3 linked regions of the Macaca fascicularis genome follow. The protein of the gene in region 1 purifies or fractionates together with the protein of each later gene. This does not show direct contact. Links are inferred from orthologs where the notes say so. Each region holds a gene or a part of one and is shown on either strand. Other genes may lie near its edges.

The links. Proteins that work in one complex are often made in the same cells at the same time.
Region 2: the proteins of SF3B6 (region 1) and PRPF8 fractionate together in Homo sapiens (co-fractionation; 3 studies listed by BioGRID, with this or other methods). This does not show direct contact. The link is inferred for Macaca fascicularis from reciprocal best matches to the Homo sapiens genes SF3B6 and PRPF8.
Region 3: the proteins of SF3B6 (region 1) and SNRPD1 fractionate together in Homo sapiens (co-fractionation; 3 studies listed by BioGRID and IntAct, with this or other methods). This does not show direct contact. The link is inferred for Macaca fascicularis from reciprocal best matches to the Homo sapiens genes SF3B6 and SNRPD1.

Annotation. Positions count from the first base shown.
Region 1 is NC_088387.1:98,205,299-98,212,186, forward strand, and holds the end of SF3B6 (splicing factor 3B subunit 6), read left to right. Parts: intron 1-4,295; coding exon 4,296-4,434; intron 4,435-4,597; coding exon 4,598-4,687; 3' UTR 4,688-4,873; downstream 4,874-6,888.
Region 2 is NC_088390.1:1,770,563-1,777,989, reverse strand, and holds the end of PRPF8 (pre-mRNA-processing-splicing factor 8), read left to right. Parts: intron 1-229; coding exon 230-423; intron 424-2,387; coding exon 2,388-2,627; intron 2,628-2,722; coding exon 2,723-2,864; intron 2,865-4,896; coding exon 4,897-5,037; intron 5,038-5,136; coding exon 5,137-5,276; intron 5,277-5,379; coding exon 5,380-5,582; intron 5,583-5,733; coding exon 5,734-5,888; 3' UTR 5,889-6,062; downstream 6,063-7,427. Other genes in the region: RILP (rab-interacting lysosomal protein), read left to right, coding at 6,946-7,167, 7,239-7,332. UniProt on the Homo sapiens protein: Plays a role in pre-mRNA splicing as core component of precatalytic, catalytic and postcatalytic spliceosomal complexes, both of the predominant U2-type spliceosome and the minor U12-type spliceosome.
Region 3 is NC_088392.1:68,135,028-68,142,454, reverse strand, and holds part of SNRPD1 (small nuclear ribonucleoprotein Sm D1), read left to right. Parts: intron 1-2,552; coding exon 2,553-2,629; intron 2,630-4,216; coding exon 4,217-4,408; intron 4,409-7,427. UniProt on the Homo sapiens protein: Plays a role in pre-mRNA splicing as a core component of the spliceosomal U1, U2, U4 and U5 small nuclear ribonucleoproteins (snRNPs), the building blocks of the spliceosome.

The sequences.
Region 1 (6,888 bases):
GTTCATGTATGAGATAATCTGGGTGGTGGCCTTTTAGCTTTTAATGTGGAAACAGCATGGATTGGTTGTAAGGCCTGGGTTAAAATACTGGCTTGCCTACTCTTGTGAAACTGGAGAAAATATTTAACCTTATCTGGGCTTCAGTTATCTATGAAATAGTCTTCCTAACCTACTGTCTTAAAAGAATTTTAGTTTGGATGAAATTAGACAGTGTCTGTGAAGGTACTTTATCAGTTTTCCTTCCCAGTGTACATTAGCCACTCCTCTGCTCCTGTAGCGTTTCCATGTGTCTCTCCTAGGTTAACACGTGGTTTTGCTGTTGTCTCTATACTCATCTGTCACCCTGGGCAGACTGTGAGTTCCTCCAGGGCTCATATCATATATTATTTTTGGTTTTGTGTTGATAGCACTTGCGCGAGACATGGTAAGCACCCAGTGTATACTAAATGAATAATATAGAAAATAGTAGAAGAGGCCAGATGCGGTGACTCACACCTGTAGTCCCAGCACTTTGGGAGGCCAAGACAGGCAGATCACCAGAGGTTAGGAGTTCAAAACCACCCTGGCCAACATGGCGAAACCCCGTCTTTACCAAAAAAATACAAAAATTAGCTGGGCATGGTGGCACGTGCCTGTAATGCAGTTACTCAGGAGGCTCAAGTGGGAGAATCGCTTAAACCTGGGAGGCTGAGGCTGCAGTGAGTGAGCTGAGATCACACCACTGCACTCCATTCTGGGTGACAGAGTGAGACCCTGTTTCAAAAAAAAGAAAAGAAAATAGAATAATAATATAAAAAGTGGTTGTGATTGGTTTATAAAGGCATTATAAAGTTTATTGATAGTACTCAATTAAGGGATGCTTGAATCAGTGAAGTCAGAGAATGTTTCAGAAAGCCAAAATGAAAGGACGGAATAAAGCAGGGGCATCTTAAGAAGAGTGCAGAGCAGCTCAGAACGTTTGTGCTTCTATTTTCCTTGTATCTGGAATGGTTTTCACCAGCTCATCTCATGCCTGGCTCCTTCTTATTCTTCGGGTCTCAGCTTCAATGTCACCTTTTCAGAGAGGTTTTCCCTGACCACCCTAGCTGAAGTAGCTCCCTGTTTCCCTATCTGTTACAGAGCTTTCTACTTCTTTTATGAAACACTTCTTTTTTTTTTTTTTTTTTTTTTTTTGAGATGGAGTTTCGCTCTTGTTGCCCAGGCTGGAGTACAATGGCACGATCTTGGTTCACTACAAACTCTGCCTCCCAGGTTCAAGTGGTTCTCCAGCCTCAGCCTCCCGAGTTACTGGGATTACAGGTACCCACCACCATTCCTGGCTAATTTTTGTATTTTAAGTAGAGATGGGGTTTCACCATGTTGGCCAGGCTGGTCTTGAACTCCTGACCTCAGGTGATCCTCCCACCTCGGCTTCCTAAAGTGCTGGGATTACAAGCATGAGCCACCATGCCAAGCTGAAACATTTCCTAAGATTTATAATTATTTCAGGGCCGGGCACAGTGGCTCACGCGTGTAATCCCAGCACTTTGGGAGGCCAAAGTGGGCAGATCACAAGGTCAGGAGTTTGAGACCAGCCTGACCAACATGGTGAAACCTCGTCTCTACTAAAAACACAAAAATTAGCTGGGTGTGGTGGCGCGCGTCTGTAATCCCAGCTACTCAGGAGGCTGAGGCAGGAGAATCGCTTGAACCCAGGAGGTGGAGGTTGCAGTGAGCCAAGATTGCGCCACTGCACTCCAGCCTGGGTGACAGAGTGAGATTCCGTCTCAAAAACAAACAAACAAAAAAGATTTATAATGATTTCATATTTATGTAATATCTTTCTACTGCCTGAATATAAGCTTGAAGGAAGGAAGGGATGATGCTTGTCTTTTTCACTATTGTATTTCTAGTGCCTGTCACAGAAAGAACATAGTCTATATGTGTTGAATAGGTTAATAGAAGTTTAGGGTACAGGAGCTTAGGTCTAAATTATAGATTGAGAAACAGCTGTTTTTCTGTTCCATTACTATAATCATGCTTTATTGTATACCTGGCACCTGGCACTAGGGTGACCAGCCTTCCCAGTTTTCCCAGTACTGAGAGATTTTCTGGGACACTGGACTTTTCAGTGCTAAAACCTGGACAGTCCCAATCAAATCAGGATGATTTGGTTTGACCCTACCTGGCATGTAGCAGACACTTGGTACTTTTTATTTTTTAAAACTCTTTCATACTTGTTACCTCTTTTGATTATTAAACCCACATGGAAGGTAGGGCACGTGATAGAGCCTGATGGCACTGGACAGGTGAAGCAGCCGAAGCTCAGAGAGGCTAAGTTACATGCTTAGGTGTTCTTATTCCTACTCTAAGATTTTAATGCCAGTCAAGAAAATTGCAGCACTTTGGGAGGCTGAGGCGGGTGGATCACTTGAGGCCAGGAGTTTGAGACCTGCCTGGCCAACATGGCAAAACCCCATCTCTACTAAAAATACAAAAATTAGTCGGGCATGGTGGCGCACGCCTGCACGAGAATTGCTTGACTCTGTCTCAAAAAAATAAGAAAATAATGTTAGCTCAGTGTCCAATACGTGGTAGGTACAAATACATGCCTTTAAAAGTTCAAATTATAGTATGGCTCTCAAGGTGTGAGGTTGATGATAATTAGGGCTGGGAAACTTAAGATGGAGAGTCTTTAAAGTGGGGTTAGTGTCTATCCCTGTTCTAGTTCCTAAGAAGATATGAGAGGAAGAAAGAGAGTTGCTTTGTTTTGTTTTGAGCTTCCTGGACAAAGTGAGTGTGAGAGAATTGATAGGAGAAAGTAGATCTCCACTTTTCAAAGGCATATTAGCATCTGCCTTATGCATGGCACTAAAGGAGTGAATGAAGTACACATAAGATCACCTTTGCTCTTAAGGAACTGAAAATCTTGTTAAGTTTTTAAAAGTCAAAAGTCTGAAAGTTGTTAAGACTTCCCAGAGCCTAAAGAACATTCTAAAACCCCTTGTCAGGCCCACACAACCTGACAAAGTGAGCACATTCATTGACAGTGGCACCCTCCAATCACCCGCAGTACCCTATACCTTTTCAATTTTACAGGAAGCACAAGCTTGAGCAGGGCCCAGACTATAGTCCTGTCCTAGATCAAGTCTAGGCAGCTACCTCCTCTTCCCATGGCTCCACTGCTTTTACTCAACCCAATGTAGGGACTGTGGCAGATGGAGAGTCAGCCCACAGTCTTAAACCTCATTCCACAGTAGTTGCACTGGGTAGTTGGAACACAGATGGAGGCAAGGGGGCCATCTTGTCACCCAGAGCCTGAACTGAGTGAGACCTCTACCCATTGTCTCCACTAACAGTCACATGGCCATCTGCTGCCTGCAGTTTAGTGTTCCATTGCTCCTCAAACCTCTCTACCTCTCCCAGAGGAAGTTGGTGAGGTGAAGGAAGGAAGTAGCCAGGAATACCTACACTAACAGCAACCCCGTATCCATGAGTAAAGTCAGCTTCCACTTCCAGCCACCGTCCAGCATTCTGCCCTGGCTCACAGATAACCCTGTCCACAAGCACACTTCCACTCCCATCTTCGCAGAAGCCTAGCCCTTCTCCTTAGCCACACAGCTGTAGCATGCATTAGCATTTGAGTTGTATTAAAAATGAATGTAGACCGTTTGTGTTGGCCCATGCCTGTAATTCCAACACCTTGGGAGGGTGAGGCAGGCGGATCATGTGAGGTCAGGAGTTTGAGACCAGCCTGGGGAACATGACAAAACCCTGTCTCTACTAAAAATACAAAAATTAGCTGGGCTTGGTGGCACATGCCTGCAGTCCCAGCTACTTGGGAGGCTGAGGCACAAGAATCACTTGAGAGGCAGAGGTTGCAATGAGCTGAGATCATGCCACTTGCACTCTAGCCTAGGCAACAGAGTGAGATTCTATCTAAAAAAAAACAAAAACAAAACAAAACAAAGACATCGTAGAGCCAGTCAGGGTGGCAAGAGCACTTGTAGTCCCCACAACTCGCGAGGCTGTTCTGTGTAGTAGCTATGTTCTTAGTATTCCTGATGTGACAGTCAGCTTGACCCATAGATATTTTACTTAAGATAAAAGCAAAAAGCAAAATTACCTAATTCAAGAAATTACAGGTTTATCCAGTATATCTATCCATGTTTATTTCCTCTAATGGTTTCAGGTTGATTTCAAAATACTTAACTAAAAACATATTTCAATTTACTGTTTTTAAAAGACAGTTCTGTAAGTCAACTATCAATGCTCGGTAAATGTATATCTTAATTAAATTTGATTTAACTCTCCAGGGGGAACACACCTGAAACTAGAGGAACAGCTTATGTGGTCTATGAGGACATCTTTGATGCCAAGAATGCATGTGATCACCTATCGGGATTCAATGTTTGTAACAGATACCTTGTGGTTTTGTACTATAATGCCAACAGGGTAAGTAAGTTCTCATTGTGTAGTGATCTCATTTGAGAATTAGTGTAGAACTGTACTGTGATGATATATGTCTACTGTGACTTTGTTTTTTGGCTAATGCTATTGATGAAATTCATTTGGCTATAGATTGGTAATTTAATTTTGGTGCTTACCACATTTCCAGGCATTTCAGAAGATGGACACAAAGAAAAAGGAGGAACAGTTGAAGCTTCTCAAGGAGAAATATGGCATCAACACAGATCCACCAAAATAAATGTTTTCTACATTTTCATTTTGGACTAAATCCCATGAATGACAATTTTCCACTTTTTTTTCCTTTTTAATTAATACTAAATATTGTGATTTCTAATTTGAGGTTCAACATGACCTACTTGAAACTTTGATACATATTAGAATACATTGTGTTAATAAACTTACAGCTTTTTGTGAAACACCTCAATCTTTTCTCTTGAACTTTCCCTTCCTGTTTGATACCAGGAAAAAACAGTCGAAGCTTATCAACAATTGTAGGTGCTCCTAGGGATTCTGTGCTTCTTGAGAACAGGACCTCTTAACGTAAATTCTTAATGCCTCCAGGGCCCAGTGCAATGCTTAGCCATCAAAGGAACTTGCTGTTTATTGAATGTCTATTAATAATTAAACCTTCATAACAACTCAGTGAAGATAGGTATTTGCATTTTGCAGGTGAGGAAACCAAAGCTCATGATGTTGGTTGAATGAATAAAATGCTAACATACAAAGCTGGTGTGATAACAACCAGTTATTAACCAAGCCTTTACATGTGAATAATGCTTGCTTTATAGTTAACAAAACACCTTTGTCAATATGGGTACCCTTGTCTTTAGAACAGAGGTCTGTTATAGAAATGGTCACTTAGATGATAGTACATTGTTAGAAACTTAGATTTGCCTCTTTAAATTTTTTAAAAAATTATTATGGGTACATAATGGTTGTCACATTGGTAGAAATTTGAGAGCAAGCTGCTTGGGTAGTGGTGTTGGTTGTTATATGTCTAAGATTGTATTTATGTAGCCTTTTCCTTTAGTTATTAAGCATCTGTATATATTTTGGACCTTAGTTCATAATATATCTTTACCATAAATAAAATACTTAATGTTCATTCTTATTATCATAAGTTCCCATGACATGGAAATAGTATGGTTATTACCCCATTCATCATCATGGCAGCTTAGGAGAATATAGCAATGATTTGCTTTTTATTGCTTAGGCATGGACCAAATGGGAAAACATGGACTAATTGTTTTGTGTGTAATTGGAACCTAAAATCAATTTGAAGGGTACATACACTGAATCATTTCAATGGACAAAGAGCATCAATTCTGCTTTTAATTGTATCTGAGTGTTTTTTGAAAGCAGTGTAAGAGAGTAGAGTCATTTCTAAGGGTGGGCAGATAAGAAAGGAGCCAGAGCTGTAATTTTCTTTTGAATGCTTTTATGAGTGCATTATTGGTTTTTGTAATGCATGTTGTGCCTTTAGGTAATGTAAAAATTTTCTAAAAGACTTTCTTGTAAGAGAAAAACTGAAATTAGACTTTAAAACTTAGAGTGTGATTTGTCTAAGTGGCAGGCTAGCTTGCCTCTGGTGTAGTTGTTTTAATAACAAGGAGAAATTCCTTCTATTAGCAATCATGACTAGTCCATCATTTGGATTGATATATGTTAGCTGAATTTCGTGACCTAAAGTTAAGACGTTTAAAACTTCCCTCTAATTTGGAAATTCCATATCCTGTCCCAATTAAGTTACAAGAACTTGCACTCAGTGGACAAACACTGACCCCCCACTCTGCACACAGTACTGCACCAAAATGCTGAGGATATAATTACGATCAGTCCTTTGCACAAGGCATCCAAAGCTCAGTTTTTCAAATGCTTTTAAGAGTGCAGCAGATGACTGTGTTTATATGTGCACACATGTGTGCCAGAGCTGCTTGACTTTCATCTAGGTTAAATTTTTGAGTTTCTAAGAAAAAATTTGTATGAATAGAGAATTCATTGACTGAAAGTTTGAAAACAACTGACGTGACCTTGATCTTATTTTTTTATTTTTTTTATTTTTGGAGACGGAGTCTGGCTCTGTCCCCCAGGCTGGAGTGCAGTGGCCGGATCTCAGCTCACTGCAAGCTCCGCCTCTCGGGTTTACGCCACTCTCCTGCCTCAGCCTCCCGAGTAGCTGGGACTACAGGCACCCGCCACCTCGCCCGGCTAGTTTTTTGTATTTTTAGTAGAGACAGGGTTTCACCCTCTTAGCCAGGATGGTCTCGATCTCCTGACCTCGTGATCCGCCCATCTGCCTCCCAAAGTGCTGGGATTACAGGCTTGAGCCACAGCGCCCGGCGACCTTGATCTTATTATTGCTCTTCTGTTTAACAACTTTAGTGGCTTTCACAGGCCAATGTCCAAACTCATTAGTATGCTGCATCATAATTTTCTGCA
Region 2 (7,427 bases), on another chromosome or scaffold:
CTGTAATCCCAGCTACTCCAAAGGCTGAGGCAAGAGAATGGCATGAACCCGGGAGATGGAGCTTGCAGTGAGCTGAGATTGCGCCACTGCACCCCAGCCTGAGCGACAGAGCGAGACTCTGTCTCAAAAAAAAAAAAAAAAAAAATTTTTGGGTTTCATGAAAGGTTAGAATTAAAGTGGGAGAGCCTCAAGCAGCTGACCTACCTCACTCTTCCAAATCTTTTCCTAGGCCTTCTCCCGTCTCATCCTGATTCTGCGTGCCCTACATGTAAACAATGACCGGGCAAAAGTGATCCTGAAGCCAGACAAGACTACTATTACAGAACCACACCACATCTGGCCCACTCTGACTGATGAAGAGTGGATCAAGGTCGAGGTGCAGCTCAAGGATCTGATCTTGGCTGACTACGGCAAGAAAAACAAGTGAGCAGTGCTGGTGGGGAGACAGATAGGAGGTCTGTATATGGTTTTCTGGGGTTTGGAAGCATTTAGGCTTACAAGTTTCTCAAGAAGGCCAGGTACAGTGGCGCATGCCTGTAATCCCAGCACTTTGGGAGGCTGAGGTGGGTAGATCATTTGAGGTCAGGAGTTTGAAACCATCCTGGCCAACATGGTAAAACCCCGTCTCTACTAAAAATACAAAAATTAGCCAGGTGTGGTGGCACTCGCCTATGATCCCAGCTACTTGGGAGGCTGAGGCAGGAAAATTGCTTGAACCTTGAGGGCGGATGTTGCAGTGAGCCAAGATTGCGCCACTGCACTCCAGCCTGGGTGACAAGAGTGAGACTCTGTCTCAAAAAAAAAAAGAAAAGGGCCAGGCGCGGTGGCTCAAGCCTGTAATCCCAGCACTTTGGGAGGCCGAGACGGGCGGATCACGAGGTCAGGAGATCGAGACCATCCTGGCTAACACGGTGAAACCCCATCTCTACTAAAAAATACAAAAAACTAGCCGGGCGAAGTGGCGGGCGCCTGTGGTCCCAGCTACTCGGGAGGCTGAGGCAGGAGAATGGCGTAAACCCGGGAGGCAGAGCTTGCAGTGAGCTGAGATCCGGCCACTGCACTCTAGCCTGGGCGACAGAGCCAGACTCAGTCTCAAAAAAAAAAAAAAAAAAAAAAAGAAAAGTTTATCAATAAATTATCTTGTCTTGGCCGGGCTTGAGTGCTCATGCTAGTAATACCAGCACTTTGGGAGGCCGAGGTGGGAGGATTGCATGAGCCAGGAGTTGAAACCAGCCTGATCAACAAAAGAGACTGACCCTATCTCTACAAAAGAAAAAATTTAAAACAGGTGTGGTGGTGCACGCCTGTAGTGCCAGCTTCATGGAGGCTGAGGCAAGAGGCTTGCTTGAGCCCGGGAGTTTGAAGCTGCAGTGAGCCATGATTATGCCACTGTACTCCCGCCTGAGTGACAGAGCAAGACCCTATCTTGAAAACAAGGAAAGAAATTATCTGACAGTCTCATAGAAGAGAGATACAGCAGTGTCTTTCTTTTTGTTTGTTTGTTTTTTTTGTTTTTTTTTGAGACGGCGTCTCGCTCTGTCGCCCAGGCTGGAGTGCAGTGGCCAGATCTCGGCTCACTGCAGGCTCCGCCTCCCGGGTTCACGCCATTCTCCTGTCTCAGCCTCCCGAGTAGCTGGGAGTACAGGCGCCGCCACCTCGCCCGGCTAATGTTTTTGTATTTTTAGTAGTGATGGGGTTTCACTGTGTTAGCCAGGATGGTCTCGATCTCCTGACCTCGTGATCCGCCCGCCTCAGCCTCCCAAAGTGCTGGGATTACAGGCTTGAGCCACCGCGCCCGGCCAGTGTCTTTCAATAGTATGAGAAGCGTCTGTGTTTTAGGGCTTCATTCTGACTCTTGGCCGTTGTTTCTCACTGTTGCCATTTTGAACAGGGCATTTCTTTACTGTCCATACATGGTAAGAAGTTTGAACATCCAAGACCCTAAGTATCTGACACTGCTACCAACACACACACACACACACACCTTCCTCTCCTCGTCTCCCTCCCTGTCATCGTGGCAACCCAAACTATTCATAGGGTGACTGACAATACCACCTCTGATTAAGAACCAGTATTGTAGGGTTTCTGGGGTTTCCATTTCTGAGAAGTGTTCCGTGCCAGAGCATTGTTTTGGTCAGGGAAGCGTGGGGTGTATGGATGCTAAACAGTGGCAAGGTGCACACGCCGTGTGCTGTCCCGCTTGGATCTGACGAATCTTGGAAGTGTTAGTACGCCTCCGTTTCACACTTCCTGTAGAAGCAGCTCTTGTGGATTGTCTGGGGCGTGAGTATAGGCTGCCCTGTCCTACCAAGTTACACCCTTTCCATTGAGGCAGAAGTGACCAAGGGGAAGGGATCCTTTTAATATAACCCACACCGTCCCCACAGTGTGAATGTGGCATCACTGACCCAATCGGAAATTCGAGACATCATCCTGGGTATGGAGATCTCGGCACCGTCACAGCAGCGGCAGCAGATTGCTGAGATCGAGAAGCAGACCAAGGAACAGTCGCAGCTCACGGCAACACAGACTCGCACTGTCAACAAGCATGGCGATGAGATCATCACCTCCACCACCAGCAACTATGAGACCCAGACTTTCTCATCCAAGACTGAGTGGAGGGTCAGGTACTGTGAGGGGCAAGAGGGTGGGGATGGAAAGGCCGGCTGCACTACCTAAGGTGCTGGGCTGAGCGATGCTGACACTCCCTACACGTTTTTAGGGCCATCTCTGCTGCCAACCTGCACCTAAGGACCAATCACATCTATGTTTCATCTGACGACATCAAGGAGACTGGCTACACCTACATCCTTCCCAAGAATGTGCTTAAGAAGTTCATCTGCATATCTGACCTTCGGGCCCAAGTGAGTAAGTGGACTCAGGCCACAGTGTGTGCCCAACACATTTTGTGCCTAAAACACCGACCTGAGATTGTCTAGAACTTGAGATGCTGGTTTCAAGATTCATGGATGAGTAATTATGCAAGGATAGCCAAAACAACGAGGCGGGTTTTGGCCCCATGAGATAGCAAAAGCTGTGGCAGCTGAGAGAAGGTAGTAAATGTAGTATTAACCTGATAGTATTTGGAAGAGAATAGATATGGTCAGAAACAAATTCCTGACCAGATGTGCATGGTGGTTCACGCCTGTAATCCCAACACTAGGCTGGGCACAGTGGCTAATGCCTGTAATCCCAGCACTTTGGGAGGCCGAGGTGGTGGATCACCTGAGGTCAGGAGCTCAAGACCAGCCTGACCAATATGGTGAAACCCCGTCTCTACTAAAAATGCAAAAAATTAGCCAGGCATGGTGGCATGCGCCTGTAGTTGCAGCTACTAGGGAGGCTGAGACAGGAGAATTGCTTGAACCCAGGTGGGGGAGATTGCAGTGAGCCAAGATCGCGTCACTGCACTCCAGTCTAGGCAACAGAGGAAGACTCCATCTAAAAAAACAAAACAAAAAACCTTTGCCTGTAGTCCCATCTACTCAGGAGGCTGAGGTTGCTTGAACCAAAGCAGTGAGCTTTGATGACCACTGCACTCCAGGCGGGGCGCACTGGCTCATGACTAATCCCAGCATTGTGGGAGGCTGAAGTGGGCAGATCTTTTGAGCCCAGGAGTTCGAGACCAGCCTGGGCAACATGACGAAATGCTGTCTCTACAAAAAAATTAAGAAACTAGCTAGGCATGGTGGCCCACACCTGTAATCTCAGCTACTCAGGAGCCTGAGGTGGGAAGATCACCTGATCCTGGAGAGTGGTGAGTGTAGTGAGCTGAGATCATGTCACTGCATGCTAACCTGGGTGACAGAGTGATACCCTGCTTCAAAAAAGAAAAAAGATGCATAACTTTACTAGTGTATCAGGGATATTCATAGTTTATAAAAGATCATTTTGGGCCGAGGCCGGTGGATCACTTGAGGTCAGGAGTTCAAGACCAGCGTGGCCAACATGGCAGAACCCTGTCTCTATGAAATATATGAAAATTAGTGGGGCGTGGTGGCATGTGCCTGTAGTCCCAGCTACTCAGGAGGCTGACGCAGAATTGCTTGAACCCAGGAGGTGGAGGTTGTAGTGAGCTGAGATCACACCACTGCGCTCCAGCCTTGCCAACAGAGTGAGACTCCATCTCAAAAAAACCCACTATTGCCGGGCGCGGTGGCTCAAGCCTGTAATCCCAGCACTTTGGGAGGCCGAGACGGGTGGATCACGAGGTCAGGAGATCGAGACCATCCTGGCTAATACAGTGAAACCCCGTCTCTACTAAAAATACAAAAAATTAGCTGGGCGTGGTGGCGGCGCCTGTAGTCCCAGCTACTCGGGAGGCTGAGGCAGGAGAATGGCGGGAACCCGGGAGGTGGAGCTTGCAGTGAGCCGAGATCGCGCCACTGCACTCCAGCCTGGGCGACAGAGCGAGACTCCGCCTCAAAAAAAAAAAACCCACTATTAGTGGCTGTCAGGTTGGCAAATTTGAGAAGACTGTTAATATCCTGTGTGGGTGAGTTTATAGTAAACAGATCCTCTTACTTGGTGATAATGTAAAATTTAAAATAGCACCAAGTGCTGGATTTCCAGATGTTCTCAGTTTGTGAAAATACACTGAGCTGGAGGTTTGTATGCTCATTTGCTTATGAATGCTATCCTTAATAATCAGCTGGGGAGCTTGTGAGCAGTGCAGATTCCTGGACCCCACGCAGGAGGTCCTGATGTGGGAAGTCTGAAATGAGGTCCATGTTTAACATTTTGAACAAGCACCGCAGCTGATTCTGATACAGGGGTTCTGATCATGTTTTAAGAAACTGTCCTCGTTCTTGGGGGAAGGAAGGAAAACAGGGCTGGCAGCTCCACCTCTGAGCTGGTACTAAGAAGAGTTTTGGTTCCTGACCCCTTTGTCTCCAGATTGCAGGATACCTGTATGGGGTGAGCCCACCAGATAACCCCCAGGTGAAGGAGATACGCTGCATCGTGATGGTGCCACAGTGGGGCACTCACCAGACCGTGCACCTGCCTGGCCAGCTGCCCCAGCATGAGTACCTCAAGGTAATGGAAAGTGATGGAGCCTGGGAATGTGGAAAAGCTGGTGCGATTCCTGTCTGCAGATGGGATTCTGAAGAGCTCTGTACTCCTCTTTACCTATAGGAGATGGAACCCTTAGGTTGGATCCACACTCAGCCCAATGAGTCCCCGCAATTATCACCCCAGGATGTCACCACCCATGCCAAGATCATGGCTGACAACCCATCTTGGGATGGCGAGAAGACCATTATCATCACGTGCAGGTGGGCCTGGGCTCCTTGGGAGGAAGTATGGTGGGGCAGGGATTGCAGGCCAGGGCCCAGAATAGTGACCTGAGCTGTTACTCCGTCCTCGTCCCTCCCCCAGCTTCACACCAGGCTCCTGTACACTGACGGCCTACAAGCTGACCCCCAGCGGCTACGAATGGGGCCGCCAGAACACAGACAAGGGCAACAACCCCAAGGGCTACCTGCCTTCACACTATGAGAGGGTCCAGATGTTGCTGTCGGACCGCTTCCTTGGCTTCTTCATGGTCCCTGCCCAGTCCTCGTGGAACTACAACTTTATGGGTAAGTGGGAGGAGCCTGGGGACGTGGGGATAGCAGTAGTGATAAGGTGAGGCCATCGCCTGTCACACTTGGGGCCTGGCTGGCTTGGAGGTGGTGCCGGCTGCATGAGGCGGGAGCCCTGTTGACGCTGGCTGTTTCCTTCTCCCCGAAGGTGTTCGGCATGACCCCAACATGAAATACGAGCTGCAGCTGGCGAACCCCAAAGAGTTCTACCACGAGGTGCACAGGCCTTCCCACTTCCTCAACTTCGCCCTCCTGCAGGAGGGGGAGGTTTACTCTGCGGACCGGGAGGACCTCTATGCCTAGCTGTTTCCCTGCCTCCAGCTTCAGCCTCCTGAGGCCGGAGCCTCAGCCCCTCCAGACAGGCCGCTGACATTCAGCAGCTTGGCCTCTCCCTCTGTCTGTGCTTGTTGTGTTGTTGACCTCCTGATGGCTTGTCATCCTGAATAAAATATAATAATAAATTTTGTATAAATAGGAGTTCAGGGGCTGTTTGTTTTTTTTCCCCCCGAACCCAAATTCTGGATTTAGGTCTAACAGGAGAAGGAAACAGCCAAAGTTAACAGGGCTCCTGCCTCATGCAGCCTGCGCCGCCTCCAAGCCAGCCCCAGGTGTGACTGGACTGGAGCGGTTTACAGCAAGATGCTGGGCTCGCTGTGAAGGGGGAGTATGAGGCCACCTTCCTATTCAGGGCTTTGGGGTAGATAGCCCCTGGACTCAGTGGAGACCTGAGGCGGGGCTGGGCTTTCACACTCCGCTGCCTTGACCACATTTGCTGCTTTCTCTACAAAACAGTACTTGGAAGCCCTCGCCTCCTTTCCACAGTTCTGGGAGCAGTTGACCTTTCCCGGTCTAGGAACTCTGGCTTGCGCTGAGCGGCTATGGTGTCCAGCCCAGCCCTTTAAGCTTTCTGTGTCACTCCTGGTCAGGAAAACAAGCACACAGGCAGACAGCTGGTGTACAGCCGGGCGGAGGCCAGTGACTGGCTGCCTACCTGTCACCTCTCGCCTGGAGTGCCCCGCTGCCAAGTTGGCCCCATGACTCCACACACGGGGCGGAGCCTGGACTGGGCCTGTGGGGAGGGCTCCACTAAAGTGACCACTTGCAGCCCTGAGCCTCAGCTCTTGGACGTCTGGCTGGAAGTTGGCTGTCCTGTTTCCTGTGACCTTGGGCATGGAAGGGACAGGGCCCAGGGGACCTAGGACACTGTCTCCCTTCCCCACGCCTTCTCCCTCGTTCCTCCCCACCCTTCTCGCTTCTACCCCGCCCACACAGCCCTAAAGGCTTCCTGGGGCGGAACTGTTTGGCTTTTCCCCGTCTCAGTTGAGGGTGGAGGGGTCGCAGCCCTAAGCCTTTGGGGGACATGGAGCCCAGAAGGGCAGTGGCGCCTGGCTGGGGGTCTCGGGAGACCGCGGGGTCGGGAACGGCCGCGGAGCTTGTGTACCATCTAGCCGGGGCCCTGGGCACTGAGCTGCAGGAGCTGGCGCGCCGTTTCGGGCCGGAGGCGGCGGCAGGGCTGGTGCCGCTAGTGGTGCGGGCGCTGGAGCTCTTGGAACAGGCTGCCGTGGGGCCCGCCCCAGACTCGGTGAGTCACGGCGCTCCCCTCGCCACCCGCGGGGCCGGCAGGGCCGAAGCCTGAGACCCGGGTCTCCCCAGCTGCAGGTGTCGGCGCAGCAGGCGGAGCAGGAGCTGCGGCGGCTGCGGGAGGAGAACGAGCGCCTCCGCAGGGAGCTGCGCGCGGGGCCACAGGGTGAGCCCAGCTCCGGCCAGGGCAGGGCGGGTGGCGACCGGCTCGGGTCCTCCTCTCCCTCCCGCGGGCCTACGTGCCGCCGCTAAGAACGCCCC
Region 3 (7,427 bases), on another chromosome or scaffold:
CAGTAACACAATCATGGCTTGTTGCAACCTCGAAGTCTGGGCTCAAGTGATCCTCCCACCTCAGATTCCAAGGAACTGGGACTACAGGCATGAACCAACATGCTCAGCTAATTTTTTTATTTTTATTTTTTTTTGTGATGGAGTCTTGCTCTGTCAACCAGTCTGTAGCACAATGGCACGATCTTGGCTCACTGCAACCTCTGCCTCCCAAGTTCAAGTGATACTCCTGCCTCAGCCTCCTGAGTAGCTGGGATTACAGCCCTGCACCACCACACCCGGCTAATTTTTTGTATTTTTAGCAGAAATGGGGTTTCACCATATTGGCCAAGCTGGTCTCCAACTCCTGACCTCATGATCCACCTACCTCGGCCTCCCAAAGTGCTGGGGTTACAGGCATGAGCTACCGTGCCCGACCAACTAAATTTTTTTGTTTTTATTTTTGTAGAGACAGGATCTTGCTCTGTTGACCAGGCAGGTCTCGAACTCCTGGCCTCAAGCAGTCATCCCACCTTGGCCTCTCAAAGTGGTGAAATTACAGGCATTAACCTCTGCACTGGCAATTGACAATATTTGTAAACCCTTCAACTTTTCTTCCTCTGCAAAATGTTATAAAAAGGGGAGAACAGAAATCTAGATGAAGTAAGAAGTGGATAGTTTGTTCATTATATATTATCAAGGCAACTGGCTATTCAGTTGGGGAAAGTAATAAAGACAGATTTGTGCCTTACACTGCATAAAAAAAGATCAATTCCAAGTAGATTAAAACTCTAAAAGTAGAAGAAAATAAGATACTATCTTTTACAATCTTGGCATAGAAAAAACCCTTTCCTAGGCAAATTATGTATCCCAGGAAGATGAACAGATTCAAAACATAAAAGTGAAAAAAGTTTGTGTGACTAAAGAAACCATAAACCACAAACTTGAATGACTGGCAAACAAGTAGAAAATAAAAGAAAAACTCAACCTAATTGAGAATATGTAAATAATGTGAACAGGTAATTCACGGAAGAAATAATTTTCCCATATTAATGAAAAGATATTCAGTCTCACAAGTAATTAAGGAAAAACAAATTCCCCCCGCCATCAAATTCACAAAAATTTGAAAGACTTAACAGCAACTTGTGTTGGTGAGGGTTTGCATAATTGGGTTTGTAATGGGAAAAAATTGAACCAAAGTAATGTCCATCAACAGGGAGGTAATAAATTTTGACATTTCCATATAGTGGAATACTTTTCAGTTCTTAGAATGTTATTTTGTTATTTTGTTATTTTTTTATTTTTTTGAGACGGAGTCTCGCTCTTTCGCCCAGGCTGGAGTGCAGTGGCGCGATCTCGGCTCACTGCAAGCTCCGCCTCCCGGGTTCACGCCATTCTCCTGCCTCAGCCTCCCGAGTAGCTGGGACTACAGGCGCCCACAACCGCGCCCGGCTAATTTTTTGTATTTTTAGTAGAGACGGGGTTTCACCGTGGTCTCGATCTCCTGACCTTGTGATCCGCCCGCCTCGGCCTCCCAAAGTGGTGGGATTACAGGCGTGAGCCACCGCGCCCGGCCTATTTTGTTATTTTGGCTTTTTTTTGAGATGGAGTCTTGCTCTGTCGCTCAGGCTGGAGTGCAGTGGAACAATCTCACTCACTGTAGCCTCTGCCTCCGGAGTTCCAAGTAGCTGGGATTACAGGCGTGCTCCATCATGCCTAGCTAATTTTTTTTTTTTTTTTTTTTTTTTGAGATGGAGTCTTGCTCTCTCCCCAGGCTGGAGTGCAGTGGTGCGATCTCAGCTCACTGCAGCCTCTGCCTCCCAGGTTTAAGCAATTCTCCTGCCTCAGCTTCCTGAGTAGCTGGGATTACAGGCGCATGCCATCCTGCCCAGCTGATCTTTGTGTTTTTATAGAGATGGGGTTTCACCATGTTGGCCAGGCTGGTCTTGGACTCCAGACCTCAGATGATCTGCCCACCTCGGTCTCCCTAAGCGCTGGGATTACAGGCATGAGCCACTGTACCCAGTCTCAGTTCTTAGAGTGTTTTGTATGTTGAAATGGGAATATGTCCAATATAAACTGCTGAACGAGAACTACAAGTTACAGATGTGAATAAAATATGACCCAATTTATGTAAAAAGAAATCTGTATATATGCTTATGAATGTGCATATAAAATGATCTGGAATAATATTCCTACATACCCACAGTGCAGGGGGTTAGGAAGGGAGATTTTTACTTTATGTATAAATATTGTAATAAACTTGTAATCTTTTTACCAACTGTAATTCTTTATTTATTTTTCATGATTTATGAGTCTGAGATCTTGTATGTCTGGATTTGAGGTTTGAGAATTAGAAACGTCCAAATGACAGTTCATTTTAGTATTGTTGTGTTCCTTCATAAAGGTTGAGGATATGATTCAGGAAAGCTGAAATTGTTAGCATATTCTTGATAGGAATTGATGCAGATAGCATCTACAAATTTTCAGCGTCTAGTTGTTTCATCTTTTTACCTTAATAAATGTGATTTTAAAGTGTTGCAGGTAAAAATTAATGGTTTTATTCCTATTTATAGATTTTTGATGAAATTGAGTCATGAAACTGTAACCATTGAATTGAAGAACGGAACACAGGTCCATGGAACAATCACAGGTACGGAGGTTGGACTACTTTTATAACATTTTTTTCTTCTCTTTTACCTGCTATCCAGAGTTTATTTTTTGATTGCTTAATGAACGTTATTGTAGTACAGATTCTTATTCTTTTGTCTGAATTATGTAATTGATTGATTGATTGATTTTTTTATTTATTTATTTTTTTTTGAGACGGAGTCTCGCTCTGTCGCCCAGGCTGGAGTGCAGTGGCGCGATCTTGGCTCACTGCAAGCTCCGCCTCCCGGGTTCACGCCATTCTCCTGCCTCAGCCTCCTGAGTAGCTGGGACTACAGGCGCCCACAACCGCGCCCGGCTAATTTTTTGTATTTTTAGTAGAGACGGGGTTTCACCGTGGTCTCGATCTCCTGACCTTGTGATCCGCCCGCCTCGGCCTCCCAAAGTGCTGGGATTACAGGCGTGAGCCACCGCGCCCGGCCTATTTTTTTTTTTAAACAGAGTTTTGCTGTGTCACCTGGGCTTGAGTGCAGTGTCATGATCTCGGCTCACTGTAACCTCCGCTGCCTGGGGTCAAGCAATTCTTTTGTCTCAGCCTCCCGAGTGGCTGGGACTACAGGTGCCTGCCAGCATGCCTGGGTACATTTTTTTTTTTTTTGAGACGGATTCTCACTCTGTTGCCCAGGCTGGAGTGCAGTGGCACAGTCTCAGCTCACTGCAACCTCCGCCTCCAGGGTCTGATTAATTTTGGTAGAGATGGGGTTTTGGTCTCGAACTTGTGACCTCATGATCCATCCGCCTCGGCCTCCCAGAGTGCTGGGATTTCAGGCGTGAGTCAAGTCACTGCACTGGCCTAATTTTTGTATTTTTAGTAGAGACGAGGTTTCAGCATGTCAGCCAGGCTGATCTTGAACTGGACCGGGCTGGTCAGAAGACCTCAGTTGATCCGCCCGCCTCGGCCTCCCAAAGTGCTGGGATTACAGGCGTGAGCCACCAAACCTGGCCTAAGTAGGTCTTTAGTTATCCCATTAGTTCAGGTATAATTTGGTAAAGGCTTCAGTATTCAGGTGTTTCAGCTATAATGTCATATAATCACCCTAAAAAATTGCTTTGTATTTTGTAAACTCTCATACTAAAAATAGTAGCTTAATGAGAAGAATAGGTGTTGCAGACTACTTAAAAGCCTGTGTAACTTTGTAATCAAAATATTCTTAACAAAAGTGGTAACAATTATTACATATAGAGAGAAGCAGAAACAAAGGTGAGGATAGTTTAGTGGAATGGGGATTATGAGAAAGTCACAAAGACAGTGAGAGAAACATTCAAGAAATACCTGTCAGATCAGTAGTGAGCCTGAAGCCCAGTCAGGGTTCTTCCATTGCTTGCTGCATTCATTTCTGTAAGCAAAACTTAGTGTGCTAGGAAAAATCTCTAGGAAGGAAACACTGCTGATTTATACTGACGTTATTCCCCCATTTACCAGTTGCATATGTGCTAAATTATGTCATAGAAAACTTGCACTGTAGCAGAACAGTATTCTTTTGTAGTCCAGTATTTACTGTGGCTCAGTAGATTAATTAGTTGCCTGACTTTTATCATACTAATAACTGCCCAATTATTTTCTTTTTAGGTGTGGATGTCAGCATGAATACACATCTTAAAGCTGTGAAAATGACCCTGAAGAACAGAGAACCTGTACAGCTGGAAACGCTGAGTATTCGAGGAAATAACATTCGGTATTTTATTCTACCAGACAGTTTACCTCTGGATACACTACTTGTGGATGTTGAACCTAAGGTGAAATCTAAGAAAAGGGAAGCTGGTAAGTTTGAAGGATTATAAAAATTTTTGTGAATGCTAATCCTAATCCACACTATTCATAATATAAATATTTGCAAACAACACAAGTGTCTTTGTTTTTTAATATTTCTTATAATGTGTATTATAACTCCTGGTGTTGCTATTAAAAACATTGATGCGGCTGGACACAGTGGCTCACGCCTGTAATCCTAGCACTTTGGGAGGCCGAGGCGGGCAGATCATCTGAGGCCAGGAGTTCCAGACCAGCCTGGTCAACATGGAGAAATCCCATCTCTACTAAAAATGCAAAAAAAAAATTGGGCGTGGTGGCGCATGCCTTTAGTCCCAGTTACTTGGGAGGCTGAGGCAGAAGAATCACTTGAACCCGGGAGGCGGAGGTTGCTGTGAGCCAAGATCATGCCACTGCACTCCGGCCTGGGCTACAGAGTGAGACTCTGTTTCAAAATAATAATAATAATATGGTTGTAATCCATAGCTTGTAAAACAATGATTTAACCTCTCATGCTGTGTATCATGCTGCTTTCCACTTTGCAAGAACCCCCTGTGGGTACCAAAATCTACAGATGCTCAAGTCCCTTTTCATAAAATGGTAATAGTGTTTCCATCTAACCTCTGCACATCCTTTTGTACACTTGTAATACCCAGTATAATGTAAATGCTTTGTAGATAGTTATATTGTATTGTTTAGGCGTTAATGACAAGAAAAAGTCTGACAACCATCATAGGCCTAAAGTTGGTTAAATCCATGGATGTGGAACCCATGGATATTGAAGGCTGACTGTATTTTCAAATCTGAGGACTTTTTGCCTTAATGTCTTTAGGGTTATTCTACTTTTACTACCTACCTACCTGTGAGGGAATTGATGATTGAAAGCCCCCTGCCTCGTATCATCTTACTCCACGCTGAGAAGTTATTCTTCCTTTACTAAATGTTACAGTTCCAAGTCTATTTTCTGATTTAAAATTTTGTTGAAAAAAATTTTTTTGTTTTCTTTTTTTTTTTTTTTTTTAGATGGAGTTTCACTCTTGTTACCCAAGCTGGAGTGCAGTGGCGCGATTTCAGCTCACTGCAACCTCCGCCTCCTGGGTTCTAACGATTCTTCTGTTTCAGCCTCCCAAGTAGCTGGGATTATAGGTGTGTGCCACCGCACCCAGCTAATTTTGTATTTTTAGTAGAGACGGGGTTTCATCGTGTTGATCAGGCTGGCCTCATACCCCTGACCTCAAGTGATTTACCTACCTCAGCCTTCCAGAGTGCTGGGATTACAGGCATGAGCCACCACGCCCAGCCGAAATCTTTTATCTACTATGTTTTCTCTGCTTTTCTTTGTTCTTCTGGGTACTTACCGTTTTTGTTCCTTTTCTATCATAAATACTATTTCAGAAGAAATTGGAGATAAGTGTGGTCAATTTGGTTCATTTTAACATGCGTCCTAGACTTACTGTTTTTGTGTGTACACATTTAAAATAATATAGTTTAAAATAACTGAAATTGGCTGGGCGCGGTGGCCCATGCCGTGAGCTGAGATCGTGCCATTGCACTCCAGCCTGTGCAACAAGAGTGAAACTCTGTCTCAAAAAAATAAATAAAATTATTTATGCCTGCCCCCCACCCACTCCCCACTTCTTAAAAAGTTGTTTTCTTAATTTATCTTTCTTTTATACAGATATGCACCACCAAATCTGGCTAATTTTTTAATTTTTTTGTAGAGACAGGGTCTCCCTGTGTTGTCCAGGCTAGTCTTGAACTCTTGGTCTCAAACAATCCTGCTGTGGCCTCTCAAAGTGCTGGGATTACAGGTGTGAGCCACCATCATACCTGGTCCATTTTCTTTTCTTTTTATTTCTTTTTTTTTTTTGAGACAGAGTCATGCTCTGTCGCCCAGGCCTCACTACAACCTCTGCCTCCCGGATTCAAGTAATTCTCCTGCCTCAGCCTCCCGAGTAGCTGGGATTACAGGTCCCCAGCCCTTTTATTGTTGTTGTTGTTGTTGTTTTTTACAACACTGCTCCAACTCTGTTTTTCCCCCCAATTTAACACTTCATTTTGAAATAATTTTAGACACAAAAAGTTGCAAAAATAGTACAAGGAATTCCCATACACTTTCACCAACATTGCCTAAATGTTAAAATTTCATGTAACTACAAAAAATAGAAATTTTATATTGATGCGACACTATTATATTATCTAGAGACCTTTTTCACGTTTCTCTGATTGTCCCTCTAATGTCCTTTTCCTGGTCCAAGATCCAATCCAGTACAACAGGTTGCATTTAGTTGTTCGTTTCCTTAGTTTCTTTTAATGTGTATCAGCTGGTTCCTTTTGTGACCTTAACACTTTGTAAGAGTACGGGCCAGTTATTTTGTGGAATGTCCCTTAATTAGCATCTTAAACTCACTGTTTATTGCTTGGAATGGTAAGACTAGAATCAGCGTGTACAAATTTCTAATGTGGCCAGGTGCGGTGGCTCACACCTGTAATCCCACCACTTTGGGAGACTGAGGCTGGAGGATTGCTTTGGTCCACGAGTTTGAAAGCAGCTTGGGCAACAAAGGGAGACCTCATCTCTACAAAAAATTAAAAAATTAGCCAGACCTGATGGCTTGTACCTGTAGTCCCCGCTACTCAGGAGGCTTAGGTGGGAGGATCACTTGAGCCCAGGAGTTCAAGACTGCAGTGAGGTGTGATTACACTGCAGGCTGGACTACAGAGAGAGACCTTGTATTTAAAAAAAAAAAAAAAAAAAGCAAAACATTTAGAATGTAACTGACTTCTGTGTCAGGATTTTCTAATATTCTTAGCTGTCTGAAGATGAAATAAGTTTATTTGGGTGATAAATTCCCTGTCACCATGATACTCAACTAGAGTTAGGATGACCCAGTGACAGGGATATTGCTATATGGATTAAAGCACTAGATTATGTGTAGGTCAAAATAGTTTCAATTTTCTGAAGAGTTAATAAGATTGTGATTTGATGTAATAGATTTAAACTTCCCTGGTTTTGAATTAACTTGCTTGG